Linked DNA regions of Mus musculus. The protein of the gene in region 4 purifies or fractionates together with the protein of the main gene of each other region. This does not show direct contact. Links are inferred from orthologs where the notes say so. Each region holds a gene or a part of one and is shown on either strand. Other genes may lie near its edges.

Evidence for each region.
Region 1: the proteins of Trim47 (region 4) and Fbp1 purify together in Homo sapiens (affinity purification with western blotting; 3 studies listed by BioGRID). This does not show direct contact. The link is inferred for Mus musculus from reciprocal best matches to the Homo sapiens genes TRIM47 and FBP1.
Region 2: the proteins of Trim47 (region 4) and Satb1 purify together in Homo sapiens (affinity purification with mass spectrometry; 4 studies listed by BioGRID and IntAct, with this or other methods). This does not show direct contact. The link is inferred for Mus musculus from reciprocal best matches to the Homo sapiens genes TRIM47 and SATB1.
Region 3: the proteins of Trim47 (region 4) and Ppm1a purify together in Homo sapiens (affinity purification with western blotting; 3 studies listed by BioGRID, with this or other methods). This does not show direct contact. The link is inferred for Mus musculus from reciprocal best matches to the Homo sapiens genes TRIM47 and PPM1A.

Annotation. Positions count from the first base shown.
Region 1 is NC_000079.6:62,885,430-62,889,515, forward strand, and holds the start of Fbp1 (fructose-1,6-bisphosphatase 1), read right to left. Parts: upstream 2,854-4,086; 5' UTR 2,615-2,853; coding exon 2,445-2,614; exon of another isoform or gene 2,222-2,444; intron 1-2,221. UniProt on the Homo sapiens protein: Catalyzes the hydrolysis of fructose 1,6-bisphosphate to fructose 6-phosphate in the presence of divalent cations, acting as a rate-limiting enzyme in gluconeogenesis. Plays a role in regulating glucose sensing and insulin secretion of pancreatic beta-cells.
Region 2 is NC_000083.6:51,738,584-51,742,147, forward strand, and holds part of Satb1 (DNA-binding protein SATB1), read right to left. Parts: intron 3,560-3,564; coding exon of another isoform or gene 3,464-3,559; intron 1,831-3,463; coding exon 1,315-1,830; 3' UTR 1-1,314. UniProt on the Homo sapiens protein: Crucial silencing factor contributing to the initiation of X inactivation mediated by Xist RNA that occurs during embryogenesis and in lymphoma.
Region 3 is NC_000078.6:72,785,153-72,788,716, forward strand, and holds part of Ppm1a (protein phosphatase 1A), read left to right. Parts: intron 1-1,519; coding exon 1,520-1,637; intron 1,638-3,564. UniProt on the Homo sapiens protein: Enzyme with a broad specificity. Negatively regulates TGF-beta signaling through dephosphorylating SMAD2 and SMAD3, resulting in their dissociation from SMAD4, nuclear export of the SMADs and termination of the TGF-beta-mediated signaling.
Region 4 is NC_000077.6:116,107,414-116,111,519, forward strand, and holds the start of Trim47 (E3 ubiquitin-protein ligase TRIM47), read right to left. Parts: upstream 2,823-4,106; 5' UTR 2,808-2,822; coding exon 2,121-2,807; intron 949-2,120; coding exon 853-948; intron 596-852; coding exon 365-595; intron 210-364; coding exon 11-209; intron 1-10. UniProt on the Homo sapiens protein: E3 ubiquitin-protein ligase that mediates the ubiquitination and proteasomal degradation of CYLD.

The DNA.
Region 1 (4,086 bases), on a different chromosome or scaffold from region 4:
GACAACGGGCTGAAACCAGTCTTGGTGGGGTTCTTGCAGATCTTCAACCATCCCATCCCTCTGGGTGAGTGCTCTTCTAAGGCCAACTGGCAGCCTTAATAAGCTCTTTATTATGGGCACACTGGCTCTCCATCCAACACATCAAAGCCCAAGTGAGCCTAATTGAAAGCTCTGTCTTTGAGATCTCATCTGCCTGCTAGTGGTCTGACTGCTTATCGTCCTGTGAATAGTCAGACGCTTCCTGTCCCACAGAATCCAACTTCTTCCCTCAGCCAGCATCAACACCTGTTCTACCACTGTAATAGCCCTAGTAGTGGGGACTTAATGCACTCAAGCTACAGAAGGGCTCCATTTCTCATGAGATGTCTGCAGCAAGTTAATAGGAGGTGGTGGATTGTCACATCCTGGTGGCAGAGAATGTTCATTATATAGCTGGAGAAAAACACGGCAAGTATAGTCCCATTTTATTTGCTAGCTACAGAGGAATGTGTAAATGCACGTTCATGTACACATTTGTGTGAGCATAAAAAACGGGCCTGGGAAAATAACCAAGAAAAATTAACAGTCAATTTGGTGTGTGTGTGTGTGTGTGTGTGTGTGTGTGTGTGTGTGGTGGGGCAGGGGGGTCGTTTTCCTTATTATCCTTTGAATGGCTTGGTGTTTTTGTGAATAGGTGCAGGGCCTTAAGGAATCTGGGACGACCTTTTCAAAGCTGATGCTGTGACCATCTAGTCTATTAGTACACATTCTCTTCTGTTCCAAACTTAGCACCTTCTACCCCTAACCCCGTTACCATTGTCTGAGATGTGAGTTAAAAAGTGAGATATCTTGAGGGTGATTAACCTAACCCTAGGTCTCTCTGGGGTTGTGGCAAGTACCAGTGCATTTTTAGAATAATGTAAGAAATGGCAACTGTCGTCTCTCACAAAACCCCCAGGTTCTGAGAGAGCTAAATCCTTGAGCTGTAAATTTAATTTGAAGTGAGACTTTTACCTGAGTGTGCTGGCTGAAAGGCTCCTTAGGGCTAAGAACACAGCGAAACAGTGAGGGAGTCATCACTTCTAATATACATGTCCCTAGCTTTCTCTAGTAAGGCTTAGCCTTGCTTGGCATCTAAAGTAAACATCACCAGGTGTTTTACGCTTAAGGATTATCCACCAAGCCTCACAGCAGAACCAGAGTTTTTCAGAAATAAATGCACACATAGCTAACACAGGCCACACTGTTGGAGGAGCATTTAAAAATCCATTTCAAAGGATTATATGTTCAAGTTAGCTACAAATCTCACATATCAGTCTCTCATTGCTCGTAGGAAAAAAATTTTTTTAAGTATGATATTTGTTAAGAAAGTATACCGATAACCTGAAAACCCAGGTTCCATTCAGTTGTGTGAAAACCAGTTAGGTCCCAAACATGTTGCTCAGGCCAGAACAAAGTACAGAAGTGTTGTGTAGTTTAAAAAATGAAGGTGTTCTGAGACTCCATGTTTCTTCATTTGCTCCTACCTACAGTACAAAATATGGACCATAGCATTAAAATCACCCACCATGCCTTGAATCCCCACTCAGGAGGCAGAGGCAGGTAGATAACCCCTGAGTTCAAGGCCAACTTGGTCTACTCACAGTGAGTTCCAGGACAGTAGAAGCTACATCGTGAGAACCTGTTTCTAACCCTAACCTTACATAGTGGACCTACATAGTGAGACCATGTCTCAATAAATACATAAACTTCTTCTTCATCTTCTTCCTCCTCCTCCCCCTTATCATCATCACCATCATCTACCACAGGGAACTTTTCTTATTCAAGGAGGGTCTGCATAACAAAGTCCCCAGATGGTTCAGGGGAAGGAGATTGGATTCTTGGCTTTATCAAAAGCAGTCTACTACTTCTGCTCTGTCTTTAAGCTCTTAATAATTGGGCAAGATCTGCTCCTAGCATTAATGCAAACAGGGAGAGATTTTGGTGCTCAGGAGGTGAGTCTACAGCTGGCTCCAGAAAGAGGGAGCGCCCGGAATACTGTGTGGCGGCTCCCTTCCAGACTGATAAGTGGTGGGATACTCTTTATGGGGCTTGTCTAGGTTAGGGATGATACTGAATTAGAAGCTGAATTTGGGATTTCAATTTCCAAGGAGAGTAACAGAGGTTAAAAGAGAAATGGGGAGAAAGGCGCAGGTATTGGCACTTTAGAGAGTCCCGGGTGGGCAGCTGGTAAGTCACTCACTTATACCAGGAATCTGGGAGGAGCGAAAAGGAGAGTTGAGACCAGAAGAGATCCGGCAATTGTGCACCAGGAGAAGGGAACGAGGGCTGTGTGCAGCAGAGCAGAATCTTAACTGTCAGATGCGACACTGGCAACCAGACCCATCAGGACCCAGCAGGGGTCCAGAGAAGCAGACCCCAGTCGTTCTAACGGATAAGATGCGGCAGCCAGAGGCCTAACTCACAGCTGTGCGATGCCCGCCTGGCGCACCGCAGACGAGATGGCTTTGATCGCGGTGCAGAGCGAATTCAGCAGCTGGGTCAACTCCCCCGTGCCCTGAGCCTTCCTGCCCTGCTCCATGACGAAGCGGGTCAGGGTGCTGATATCCGTTTCGAAGGGCGCATGGTTCGCCATTGCTGGGGTCTGGCGCAGGTGCTGGCTAAAGGTGCTGACTAAAGGTGCAGGCAGGTGGAGCCCACAGGTGATAGTCACAGCGGGAAGACTGAAAGCCGTTCAGTGTCTGCAGAAACTCAATGAACTTGAGTCCTGGGGGAGCCTATAGTCTCCAGGTCTCCGCCCCCCTGTCCCAGGAAACACCCCCTTGCTCCCTTCCTCTACCAACTGCCATTCTGCCCGCTGGCCAAGGTCCTCCTAGCCTCTCCCTCCCTCCGTTCCATGCACCCTCCCCTAGATGCCAAGCTGACAACGCTACTTCCTCCTCTGTTGCCCCACCGCCCACCTTGCCTCTGGGCTACCTGCATGGTTATCTCCTCCAATGCCCGCTATAACCTGCCAGAGAGGAAGGCATGATGGACTCCTCCTCCCATAACCCTTCCCCCGTCCCACCCACCCACCTGCTTAAAATACTAAGCAAATTCAGGGAGGTTGAGTAACTAGTTCAGGGAAAGCCGCACTTGAGCCTGAGGTGGCTTGGTTTCGATCCCTACCCACTGCTCTTCCTGAACCATCACTGTCTCTTCTGACCCATCTCCTGGGAAATGGATTCTCCCATCCACATCCACTCTGAATCCTTAATTGTTGCCTCCTCCCAGTTTCTAGAGTTGGAGAACTGTTGGGAACCTTAGTTTCTAAGTGTCTTCCGCAGAGAAAACTAATGCAGACACAAACAGCTATTCTCTGAAGTCAGGCTGTTCCGCAGCCAGCGTCCTTACCCGTGCCTGTTCTAGCTGTCACAAGTCATAGGCTGATTTGTAGAACAATTAATTACTGAGCAGGTACTGTGCACCAGGACACCGGCTTTCTTTGAGGTCAGAGCCCAAGGAGTACAAACTCCTGCCCTTCTTGAGTGTAAGATTGACAAGTAACAAAAAGAAACAAAAACATACCATGGATCAGTTTGCTACAGGAGCCACTTTGGCATAGAGAATCATGAAAAGAGAAAGATAAATAGAGAATGCTGGGAAGAGTAAACTGGGGTGTCAGGGAAAAGTTCACTGGGAAAATAATATTTGAGCAAAAAGCTGAAGGATGCAAGAGAAGAACCAGAGTGGACTTGTCTGTGGGACTGGTTAGCCAGCCAGGCTAGTGCAATCAGCTAGCACCAAGCTTATCAGAGACCATCTCTCAAAACAAGGTAGACAGTGCCCAAGGAACAGCGCCCAAGGCTCACATGTGTACCCGACAGCCACACAGACACCAGGAAAGAAAGGAGAAAAGAGAGAGAAGGATGATATTATGACAGATCTCACAAACCATAGCAAAACACTTGTGGGTTCTATTCACAGTGCTGGAAGAACCTGTGGAGGGTTTTAAGCTGGAAAGCTATGACTTGCTCTGTTCTACATGATGAAGGAACAGACTGCAGAAGGTCAAGAGCTGAAGCTGGGAGAGCTAGCAGCGTGCCTTCCATCTAGCCTGTTTGTGTT
Region 2 (3,564 bases), on a different chromosome or scaffold from region 4:
GCATGCACCTACATGACAGCCGTCCTTGAGCCTGGCTCAAGTTACTTCACATAAGCAGACAAACCCTGCCATGTCATACCATACAAACAATTTTAATCGTGTACTTACAGTCAATAACCACTCCTAATCAGCACATTTCTGCATAAAGAAAACTGTGATACACTTATAAAAACAGCAGCTGTAACAAAATAGCTGGTGTTTTCATAGCCATAAACTCATAAAAAAGAAATACACCTTTATACAGAAACTTTATACAGATGTCGCTTTAAAATTGATTGTAAACCAAAGGAAGACACATTGCAAACATCAATTATTTTCACATTAATTGCATAATTTTCTAAGGTGATCTATTAGTTTTATTTACCTAAGCTTATTTGCATGATAGTAAAAATTGCATACAACAACGAGACCGAAGCTTCTAGAGTGAATTGCTTGGATAACATAGACTTTTTATAGGCAACTGTGTAAAGCACATTTTTCTCTATTTAAAACTTTTAAGACACTTTGTTTTACTGCCCATCAAAATACAGTTATAAATAGAAAGGAAATCAGGATGGGAAAGCAACATTACATTTAACAGAAATCTCCAAAAAACTTAATTATGACATGATGCTGCAGGAGCTACAAATAAATAACAAGGACTAAATTGTGTTTCACATTTTCTTTTCCTTAAAAAAAAAATCATGTAATAATGAGGATGAAAAAAATTACAGTGAACTTTTATTTCCAAAATAAAAAAACAAATTTTAATTACGGCAGTGCCATACAATACAAGGCATTTGTTGGCATATGTCATCTTTAAACTGCATTCCACAGTCTATAGTTCTTTTTTTTAACATACAATCGAGTAACAAACTCTCTCTCTCTCTTTTTTTTTTTCTTTTTCTCTTTAAAATAAGGGGCCAGTTTCCAAAGACTAGTGTGGCGGGTTACAGAAGAATTACTAAAGAAAAGGCAATCATAACCACAGAAGTTATAATGCTTATTTGAGGCTCCAGAATAATAATAATCAAAAGGAAAACCAATTTCTGGTATCATGCTGACAGGGTACAACACCTGGGTGCAGCCCTTGAACACAAATTCTACCAAACAGTCCTTGACGCTTCACCCGGGGCTGCCAAGCAGTTTTGTAAAACACAGTAAAACCTTGAGTGCTGGCTGTCCTGTCCTTCCAACTTCCTTCCTGTTTGTGCAAGTTTCCGAAGATTCATTGGCCAAACAATAAACAATGAAGGTTTGTCTGAGTGAACACAAGGTGGACTTCTCATGTTGTTAGGAAATACCGGTGGTGTGGCTGAAAAGAATACTGTTCTCTCAGTCTTTCAAGTCGGCATTAACGTCTGTGCTCCCTTCCACCGACAGCTCTTCCTCTAGTTTCACTGAGAAAAGGGTGTTGGCGTTTTTATCCTGGACGCTCTCTTCCAAATCCTTAAGCAACTCCTCATCTTTGTACTCGGCCACATCCACCTCCAAGCCGGAGTTGTCCTTCAGCTTGCCATGGTGCTTAAGGTAGTACCGCTGGTTCTGAAAGAACTTGATGATGGTGTACTTCGGGAGGTCCAGCTGTGCAGACAGAGTCTGGATAGCCTCTTCATCTGGGTACAGGCCCACATCTTGGATGAAACTCTGAAGGATCCCCAGGGCTTCCACGGAAATTTTGGTTCGTGGCCTGGTCTTCTGCCGGTTTTCCTCATCGGACTCCGCGGAGGAGGCCACGGTGGGCTGCCGTGGGGGGAGTCTGGGGCCTGCCTGGGGCTGTGGCTGTGGCTGCGGCGGTGGCGGCGGTGGCTGCTGCTGCTGCTGCTGTTGCTGCTGCTGCTGTTGCTGCTGCTGCAAAGAGACAAGCAGACAGTCAGAGCTGCTCGGAGGAGCCCGCAGGAGTAAGAGTGGGTGCTTGCCAAGCCTGTGCAGTGTCTGGGGGTGGGGGTGGGGCTGGAGTAGGGGAGAAAGACACACCGAGAAAGAGCAGGCCAGCTAAACAGCCCACAGCCTTTATTAAATAAATACATACAAATTTGAGCTCAGGGCTGGGCAGCTAGGAAGCTATGCAGCTCGCAGGGCTACTGTGCCCATTTACCACCAATCTGGGGAGGAGAAAAACAACTGGAAAAAACGTGAGCAACACACTCTCTGGAAAGGGATATGTACCAAAGGTGGCCAGGCAAGCTCATCATGATGTCTGTCATTCATTAACAGACTTAAAAGAAGAATCCCTCTTAGCAAGGATTCCTGAGACATCTTTGGGCAGTTGAGCTACCCAGGCATTGGGGAAGCACTGTGCCTGGCCATACTGCATTCTCCACGGGGGAAACCTGGCTATGCTGCTTTCTGTGGCTGTCCCATGGAGGGGAGCACAGCAGTGGCTTTTCCCAAGAGGTGTGCAGAATGTATGAAAGTATGTTCTCTCAGACAGTTTCAATTCTCTCTCCCTCACACAGACACACAGACAGACAGACAGACAGACAGACGCACATTCCTAGTGTTTGCAACTAGGCTAACGCTAAGCTTTTTTTCTCTTACCCCCTTCAAATAAAGGTTCACTCCATTCTACGCCAGCTGGCGAATTGTTTTGTCTATAGTAAACTACTATGTGATTAGGCTTTAAATTTAATGTATACAGACACTTTTTCATAATTAGTATCTGCATATGTGCTGTAATTCCTGTACACAATTATACGCAACAAACGTGCGGCGTGTGTCTACTGTGCACTCGACACCCATAATTCTTAGCAGCCAAGCCAATCAACCCCGGGTGCAGAGCTGCGATGTATTACAACATTCGTCCTGTGCTTAAGCAGTTCCTCTTATCCCCCTAAGAAGCAATTTTATTAAAAACAATTTACATTTTCAAACAAGTACTATTTTTATTACTTAACATATATCTTTCTTGTCTTTGTTTTAGCTGAAACAGTTGGTTTTTCAGGCTTTCACAATTATTTTAGTGCTTAATATCCTAAGGGATTCTCTTTTTCAATTTGTTTTATCTTTAATAAATACTCAAGGATTTTTTTTCTGGTGGATGGATAACTCTATTATTTTAGCTACAGATATCTATACAGCAATACCAAGAAGGAATGCAAGAGATTCAACAAAGATGTTAGGCAGGTTTCTGGGATCCCAGAGGCAATGGCATTTCCCTTAAAGGAGAAAGCTAGAAGCAACCTTCAGATTTAGCAGAAACAAGATACACAACTTAAATTCAACTAGCCACAGGATCCCCAATACGTGGTCTGATCCACAGCCTTTCAATCAAGTCCCTCATGGGCAGCAGCATTCCGACAGATGAAGCACCACGCCCCACACAGGGACATCAAGCAGTCTTGAGGTTGGCACTGTGGGCTTTGGCCAGAGGCAAGGCCGTTCTAGCACTGCCCATCTGAAAACCCTGACTGGGGGAAGTGGCCTTCACCAACACCCTCTTTTCTCCCTTTCTCCTCAGCACAGGAAACTGGTGCCCGCTCACCTGAGGGGCAGCATGGGGCCATGGTGCAGGGGTCAGCAGGCTTGGTAAGAAAACGCCTCTAGACTCTCCTTTCCCAAGGGTGCTGGGAGAGAGGCTCTAAG
Region 3 (3,564 bases), on a different chromosome or scaffold from region 4:
TTGTTTGTTATATAAAAAGAACAGAGATGACCCTGTCTGGGGCTGTTGACTATTAGGAGGGTACAGTGGAAACGCGTACATAGATAAGCTGGTTGAGCCCCTTTATATAAAAGATAAGGAGGCTGAAGCCTGAGAAGGTTCTGTGGACTTAAGAGTCAAGAGTCAAGGCCTACCTCTGTTACTTTTGTACTCTTCAGTCTTAAATTGCTCAACCTCTTCTAGAAGGCTGTATAATATAGATATCTATATTATATAGATATTTGTGTGTATATGTGTGTACTCTGGACTGATAGATGATAAATCCATAGTCAAAACATGCTTGTAACTTGCCTGGAGGACTCGGCACTCTCTTCTAAGTGGGTCCTTGACTTTGGCCCATTGTCTCTGCCATGCTGTTCTACTTTGCCAGTGCTGTTCCATGACTCACTACTGGAAAACAGACTTTATGTATCCGTAAAACCTTAATTCCGCCAAAAGGAAAGTTGATGTAGCATCCAGCCTGTGAGGTTTCAAAGGGCAGCAGAGTGACAGCCTGCTAGTGTGCCTTGGGGACCTGAGCAACAGCAAGGTGCAATAGCAGAGAGCAAAGTGCATGAAGAACAAGGTGCATGCAGACTTTGTCGCACTCAGTGTATGGCCCAGCAGCCTTTCACTAGGTTCCCTGGAGAGTGCTGTAGAGTTAAGTGACAGACACTAGCTAAATAAAAACCTGGTGAATTGTTAAATTTGGATAGTAATAAGTTACTGAAATTATACTTTTTTTCTATGCCATTTCAGAATAGTGCAGTATCTTAGCATTTGCCATATTTACAACTTTCCTCATAAGAGTCTGTCTTTGAAATTAAAATTTGTTTAATATATATAAGATCAGTTTTTCCATATAGCTAAATAAAATATTAAAAGCAAAGACAGTGTAAGGCTATCAGTTCTGGCACAGCGACTTGAATAATTTAGAGTCACTTTCTAAATTTATTTTTTATTATACAAGATATATAATATAGATTATAAATGTATAAAGTTTGGGTCGGGCATGGTGGCACACAGCTTTTAATCTCAGCACAAGGCAGAAGTAGGCGGATCTCTGAGTTTGAGGCCAGACTGGTATACAGAGTGAGTTCCAGGACAAGCAAATCTCTGTTAAAACTTGATCTAGTTTCCTTTTGAGTGGGTATTTGTACTTCAGAACATGCTTTAAGCCAATACCAGTGTACATTTGTGAAACTTGTAAAGACCAGCACTTTCGGTCTCTGTCCTGTTTCATGGCGTGTGTGGCTGTATGATACGCATGTGGGTAGGTAGCACAAGTGGCCACCAAAGAATACCTCCACATTGGATGTAACCTGGAACGGATTCCTCTGGGGTGCTGGTGATAGTTAAATGGAGGCACCTGACCTCCCACATACCTGCCTATTCTCCTTACAAATAAACAAAGTAGTTATGATTGGCAAGTTATAAAAATAATCAAGGTTTTAAAAAAATAGAAGGAAAATCAAATACTTTCTTGACCTTTTCTTTCCAGGGAAGTCGAGACAACATGAGTGTGATTTTGATCTGTTTTCCAAGTGCACCCAAAGTCTCGGCAGAGGCGGTGAAGAAGGAGGCGGAGCTGGACAAGTACCTGGAGAGCAGAGTAGAAGGTGGATCATTAACAAAAATAAATAAGTAGCTTTCTTTCAAAACAAAACCTTCCACACAAAGTCTAACCTTTTAGAAAGGTTTTAGTCCATTACATGCCTTTAGCATGTAGTACTAGTGTGGAAAGGACGTTCTGTAGTAACCATTTGTTTAGCTGTGTTCCCTGGGCCCTGTGCACTATGGTTAGGAAACTTCCAAGTGACTGAAGCATGGCTCTAAGATTCTTGCTAAACCCACTGGCATGTGTAATGTCATGCCAGGCAAGCCTGAGTATCCTCCTCTGAAAAGACGTACTGCAAGTCTCTGGAATATTTTTAATTACCTGTGTTTGGTTGGTTGGATTTTGGGTGGTTTTGTTTTGTTGGTTTTGGTTTTGAGAACGTGAAGGTCAAATGTTTAGCAACAACTGTCGGGTCCCACAGCTTTGAAACTCTGCTTTCAGCTGGTTCACGGCTTTCCTCCTGAGCCATGAGCAGTTTGAGCTTACAACACAGACCTGGCAGGAATTCCCAGATGAATCAAGAAAGTAGCTTGCAACCCCAGGAGTGTGAATCTGATGTCTCTGCAGATCACTTTAGAGTAGAACAAATGGAAAGTGTTTGTACCTCAAAAAAAAAAAAAAAAAAAAAGCAATGCATTTAAGTATTTGGAGAAATTAATCTTTTGTTGGTGGGGTTTGGTTACTTGGTTGTGGAACTTGGGACCAAATCTAAGGTTTTTTGCACAGAAGGGAAGTATTTCCCTCTGTGGCACACCTCGGCCCTTACGTGATCTTTGATAATGCTGTTCACCACGCATAAAATAAGCATTGTCTCCCCTGTGCGTACACACAATGCATATGGATCATGTAGGCCCTATAAGCAGAAACACTTCCATGTAAAAAGTGTGTTTGACTCTTCTGATACCATAATTGGCATGCAAGCTTCAATCTGCCATGTCCTTGCATCTCATTGTGTCTTCATTATTAAAATTAGTGTGCATCTTAATTTTATTTTCTCCATTTCAGTTGCTTGATTTCATTTGTAATCTGCCTATTAGCATCATGTTTGGTTTTGGTTGTCAGTGTTTCTAGAGACCGGAGACGGTCTTGTTCTTCTTACCCCCTCCCTCCTTGTATGGTAATGTCTGTGTTTGTACTGTTTAGTATTTCATTCATTGAGTGTACTAGTCAGTGCATTTTTTCTCACTATTTTAAGGTTCTTGTAACTTTTTATATCTTAAGTAATTTCAATATGTTATTTGTAGATAAAACAGTAAAGTTAAAAATACTTAGAATGTTACAGGGTGAGTGGTCTAAATTGCTGATCGGTAGAAAAATATGCAGCCAAAAAATATGTATAGGGTTAAGTTCCTATTGATGTCTTGGCACTTTAACCTGGGCATATGTTTTATTGGTATAAAGAATTAATAAATACCTTAGTATTTTTACTGTGAAGTGATATCCAGTTTTTGGAATGAATTGCTATTTTTCTCTTTAAGCGTGCTTTATTTTAAAGTAAATTTTTGGTGGAATTATCAAACATTCACTACATACATATAACTTTATAAGTTTTATATTTCATACTATCAAGTGAGAGTTGCCATCTGGGCAGAGTTTACATTAGTAGTCAATATTTTTGCTATATTCAAGTGTTTTAACATGCAGTTGGAGGTAATGTCATAAATTAAGATGCAACTAGAGAGAAAATGATGTTCGGTAAAGCTGCTGCTATTTAAAGGCATAGAATGTGACTTTGCACTGTAAATGATGTATGTCTTAAATGAAGATACACAGCTTCTAAAGCAGGCACCAAATACCTTTTTAAATACATGCCTTGACTAAGTTGTTGTGGCCCTACTAAGCCTCATTGATTTGCTGTCGACCGTTTTGGCCTGTGTGACTCCACCATTGGGAAGGATAATGCTTCCCTCCTGCTGCTGTGTCCGCCT
Region 4 (4,106 bases):
GAGCACCCACCTTCTGAGCCGAGTTTCTGTAGCCCATCCTCATTGCTGCCCAGCCCCCGCAGCTGCTCCCACTGGCTGGCACAGGCTGAGATGAGGGTGTCTCTCACCGCTTTGACCACCTGGGAGGACTTGGTGAAGCTGAGTTCCCTGGGGGGCCCAGGCCCGGGGCCGCACCCCTCCTCCAGGGCCAGCCGTAGTGCCAGGAGCTCCTGTGCCAGACAAATGCCCAGTAAGTCTGCTGGCCACAGTGTCTCGCCACCAGGGAAGGTAGCAACTATCCTGGAAGGCCAGGTACCCATCCTGGCTGCCATTGTTTCTCAACCCCGCCCCATCTCTTCAATTATGGCTCCTGAGCCGCCCTCACCTGGAGAAAGCTGACTGAATCCGCCTCTGGAACCTGACCGAGGTTGTGCCGTGCCTTGCTTAGGCGGCTGCGCTGTTCCTCTTGTCTACGCAGGTCACCCTGGGACCGGCCCAACATTGTGGCCTCTCCCTCTTCGATGAACCCCATCACCTCGTTCTGGAAACTCTGAAGGGTGGCTGTGGCCTCGGCAAACATCTGGCTCACCCTCTCCCGCTCTGCCACAGCTGCACTCTGCAGGAGAGAGCAGAGGAGACAACAGTGAGGGCAAAGACCGGGCCTGCCCGCTGTCTCCGTCCCTGACTGCTTGTGCCCACCCAGCCCCCACCCAGCCCCAGCCTGCTCTGGGTCTGAGCCAGGTTGCAGGAAACAAGGTGTTCCTGCTTAGTGGGGACGAGCACGTCTAGAGTGGGCGGCACCACAGTGAGAGCTTGTGGTGATTTCAGAGGCCTGCTTCAGGGGTGCACAGGGGGATTGGGGTGGGCGCGGACCTTGATGAGGGCCACAGTACGGCGGGACTGTGCGATGCCGGCACCCAGTTCATCCATGCGGTCCTCCGCAGCGCTCAGGACTTTGGACTGCTCCACCTGTGGACCAGGTTTTGTGAGATTGGTGTCTGTCAAAGGTCCCCGGAACTGCATCAGATCTCAGAATTTGGGGGGCTAGGTAGTGACATTTGTGAATGAAGGGAACGGAAATGGCCGTGAAGTCCCAGAATATCCCCAAGGCAGCTCTGGCCCAAGCTGGTGCCATTTCCAAATGCCTGGCAAGGAAGCAGGTTGTGGGCATATGACAACCTGTTGACCAGAGAAGCCAGTATAGGGCCACCTATGATTCTCTATTTGGGATTGTTTTCCCCCTGGGGAAGAGGCAAAGTGTGAGAGGGTGGGGTAGGGTGTGACGTGACGGAACCAGAAAAGAGGACACTAAATAGTCCTGGGGATTAGTCTCAAAAGAGCCTTCACCCCCAATCCAGCTCTGAAAAATGGGGATTCCGGGCAAATCCCTCGGCTCTAATGAGTCACAGCTCCAGGCAGGAGAGGCGGAAAATCCCAAAGCCAGAGGCGCCAAGACCGGGATGGAGGCCAAAGGAAACTGGGGGTGGGAGGTAGCGGGACACTGGGCACATGCTCCCCACGGCCCCAGAGCATTCGGACAGAGGAGATCTGTGTGACCAGCCCAAACTCCGTCGCTCTCCTGGTGCCCGCCACACCCATACAAAGTGGCTGACTCAATTCAGGACGAATCTGAATTGAAGAGGGCATCAGCTACGGGGCCCCGCCCGCACCCAGCGACTCCTGACCCCCACGGCTTCTGAGGGCCTAATGCGGATCCCTCTCTCGCTTTACACTTACACTAATCTAGCTAAAGCGCTCTCTCTCTCTCTCTCTCTCTCTCTCTCTCTCTCTCTCTCTCTCTCTCTCGGCTTTTTGCCACTCTTTCATCTTACTAGTCCCTCCCGACTCTCTTTCCATCCACACCAGCCCCAGCAAATGACAGTGTAGACCGGAAGAGGTTGCAAAGATTCTCAGGCTAGAGGAGGAAACTAAGGCAGAGCCTATTGAGTCAGAGAGATGAAGCCCATGTAAAGGCAGGAGGAGAGAACCAACCCCACAAAGTTGCTTCCTTCATCTCCATGTGCACAGCCATAATGATAAAACAAATATATAACAGACACACCCGGATAAGAGTGAGGGACTAAATAGCTCTAGTGTCCCTCCTGTCACCCATCTCCACGTGTCGACTCAAGGTGCCCCACCTCCTGAAGCGCGCGCTCCTGCTCCAGCGGCACGAGCTCGTGGCCGCGATGGTCCTGAGTGGCACAGGCCTCGCAAAGGCACACACGCTCCACGCGACAGTAGCGCTCCAGAGGCCGCAGGTGGCGCGGACACAGGCTCTCCTCAAGTCGGCGCAGCGGGGGCACCAGGCGGTGGCCGCGCAGGGCGGGGCTGCGTTCGTGGGGGGCCAGATGCGCGGAGCAGAAGGAGGCGAGGCAGGAGAGGCAAGAGAGCGCGGCGGGCAGGGCGGCGCCCTCGGGGCACGCGTCGCAGCGCACCGGCTCCTCACCCGCGGGCCACTGCTCCGGCGCGCAGGGAGCCGATGGTTCCGGAGCCGGAGGTGGTGCGCTGGGCGCGGAGGGCTCGGGCGTGGCGCCCCGGGTCGATCCTGAAGCCGGGGCGGACATGGGTCCCGGGACCGAGCCCTGGCGGAGCTGCAGCAACTCGGACAGCGTGTGGTTCTTGCGGAGCTGCAGGCCGTCGGGGAAAGGCTCCTGACAAAGTGGACAGCGAGCTGGACCTCCGGAACCACCGGTGCCGCCCGCGCTCCGGTGCGGCCAGAGAGCGCCCAGGCAAGCGAGGCAGAAGTTGTGGCCGCAGGGTAGTGTCACCGGCTCCCGGAGCGGTTCCAGGCAGATGGGGCAGCTGAAAGGCCCGCTGCCGTCCATGGCTCCGCCGCTACCCGGGCACCGCCTGTGCTGCTCCCGCCTGGGAGGGACCTGGGACGGTTCGCGCCCGGCACCGCCCCTTGGGACCCTGGCCAAGGGTCCGGCCCCCTCCTACCCCTCCGCAGCTCTGCTCGCCCCAGCGCGGCTCGCCACCGCCGCACCCACCGGTCAGCAGACGCCGCGAGGCCGGCCAGCCCTCCAGGGGAGCACGACCCTCTTGAGACTTCTACCCAGCGTGGGCGGAGGCGGTGGGACTGCCAGAGGATTGTGAAAAGGAGAGGACCCGGAGCGAGAATGTGAGGGGATTCATGGGGAGGAGGCTGAGAGGACATTCGATCCTCCATCCTCTATCCTGGTCAGCCAGGTGCCATGGTGGGCGTGCACAGCCATGTAGCCAGCGCCTTTCCCTCCAGACCCCTCCCAGGTACAGTTAGCCAAGTTCCCTGAGTTGCTGACATACAGAAAAACTTACTGCTGGTATGTGTCTGTTTTGACCTCTTAGCGACTGTGTTTACCCGCGCTGGGGAACTTAGCCTTGTCTAGATCTGAAATGGGAAGCTGACATCACTTGACAAATCCCTTGTCTGAGGAATTTACTTCCGTTCATGGATACTCGCGGGTGCCTGTAGTTCCCCAAAAGGAGACACTGGTTAAGGCCTGCCCAACTATGCATTTAGAACAGTGCGTCTAGTTGCAAGGACTTGTGCTTGAGATTTAGTCTCTGTATGTAGCCCAGAGTGACCTAGAACTCTTCATCCTCCTGCCTCAGCCTCCTGAGTGCTGGGATCACAGGCTTATGGCTTCTTCGTGTTGTTTCTGGGATAGGTCTTTCTTACATAGCCTTGGTTAGCCCAGAGCTTATGTTGGCCTTGATTCCCATGCCTCCACTTCTCCAGTATTGAGATTCCAGGTGCAGGCCACCATGTCGGGTAAACTGACATTGTAATAATGCAATAATGTTAAGCTTTAAACTATGTAGAATCAAATTGTCAAAATTATTTTAGTAGTTATTTTATATGCGCACACTGTTGCTGTCTTCAGACACACCAGAAGAGGGCGCTGGATCCCATTACAGATGGTTGTGAGCTACCATGTGGTCAGTGCTCCTAACCGTTGAGCCATCTCTCCAGGCCCTTATTATTGTTATTATTATTATTATTATAGAGTGGAGCCCACAGTTGGTAAAGTGTAAGGGCCTGAGTTAGATTCTAGCCCCTGGTTAAAGGCTGAGCATGGTGTCCAAAACCAAACGAATAAACAAAGTGGGTGGAATAGTGTTGTTACAACCCTCGATAAAAA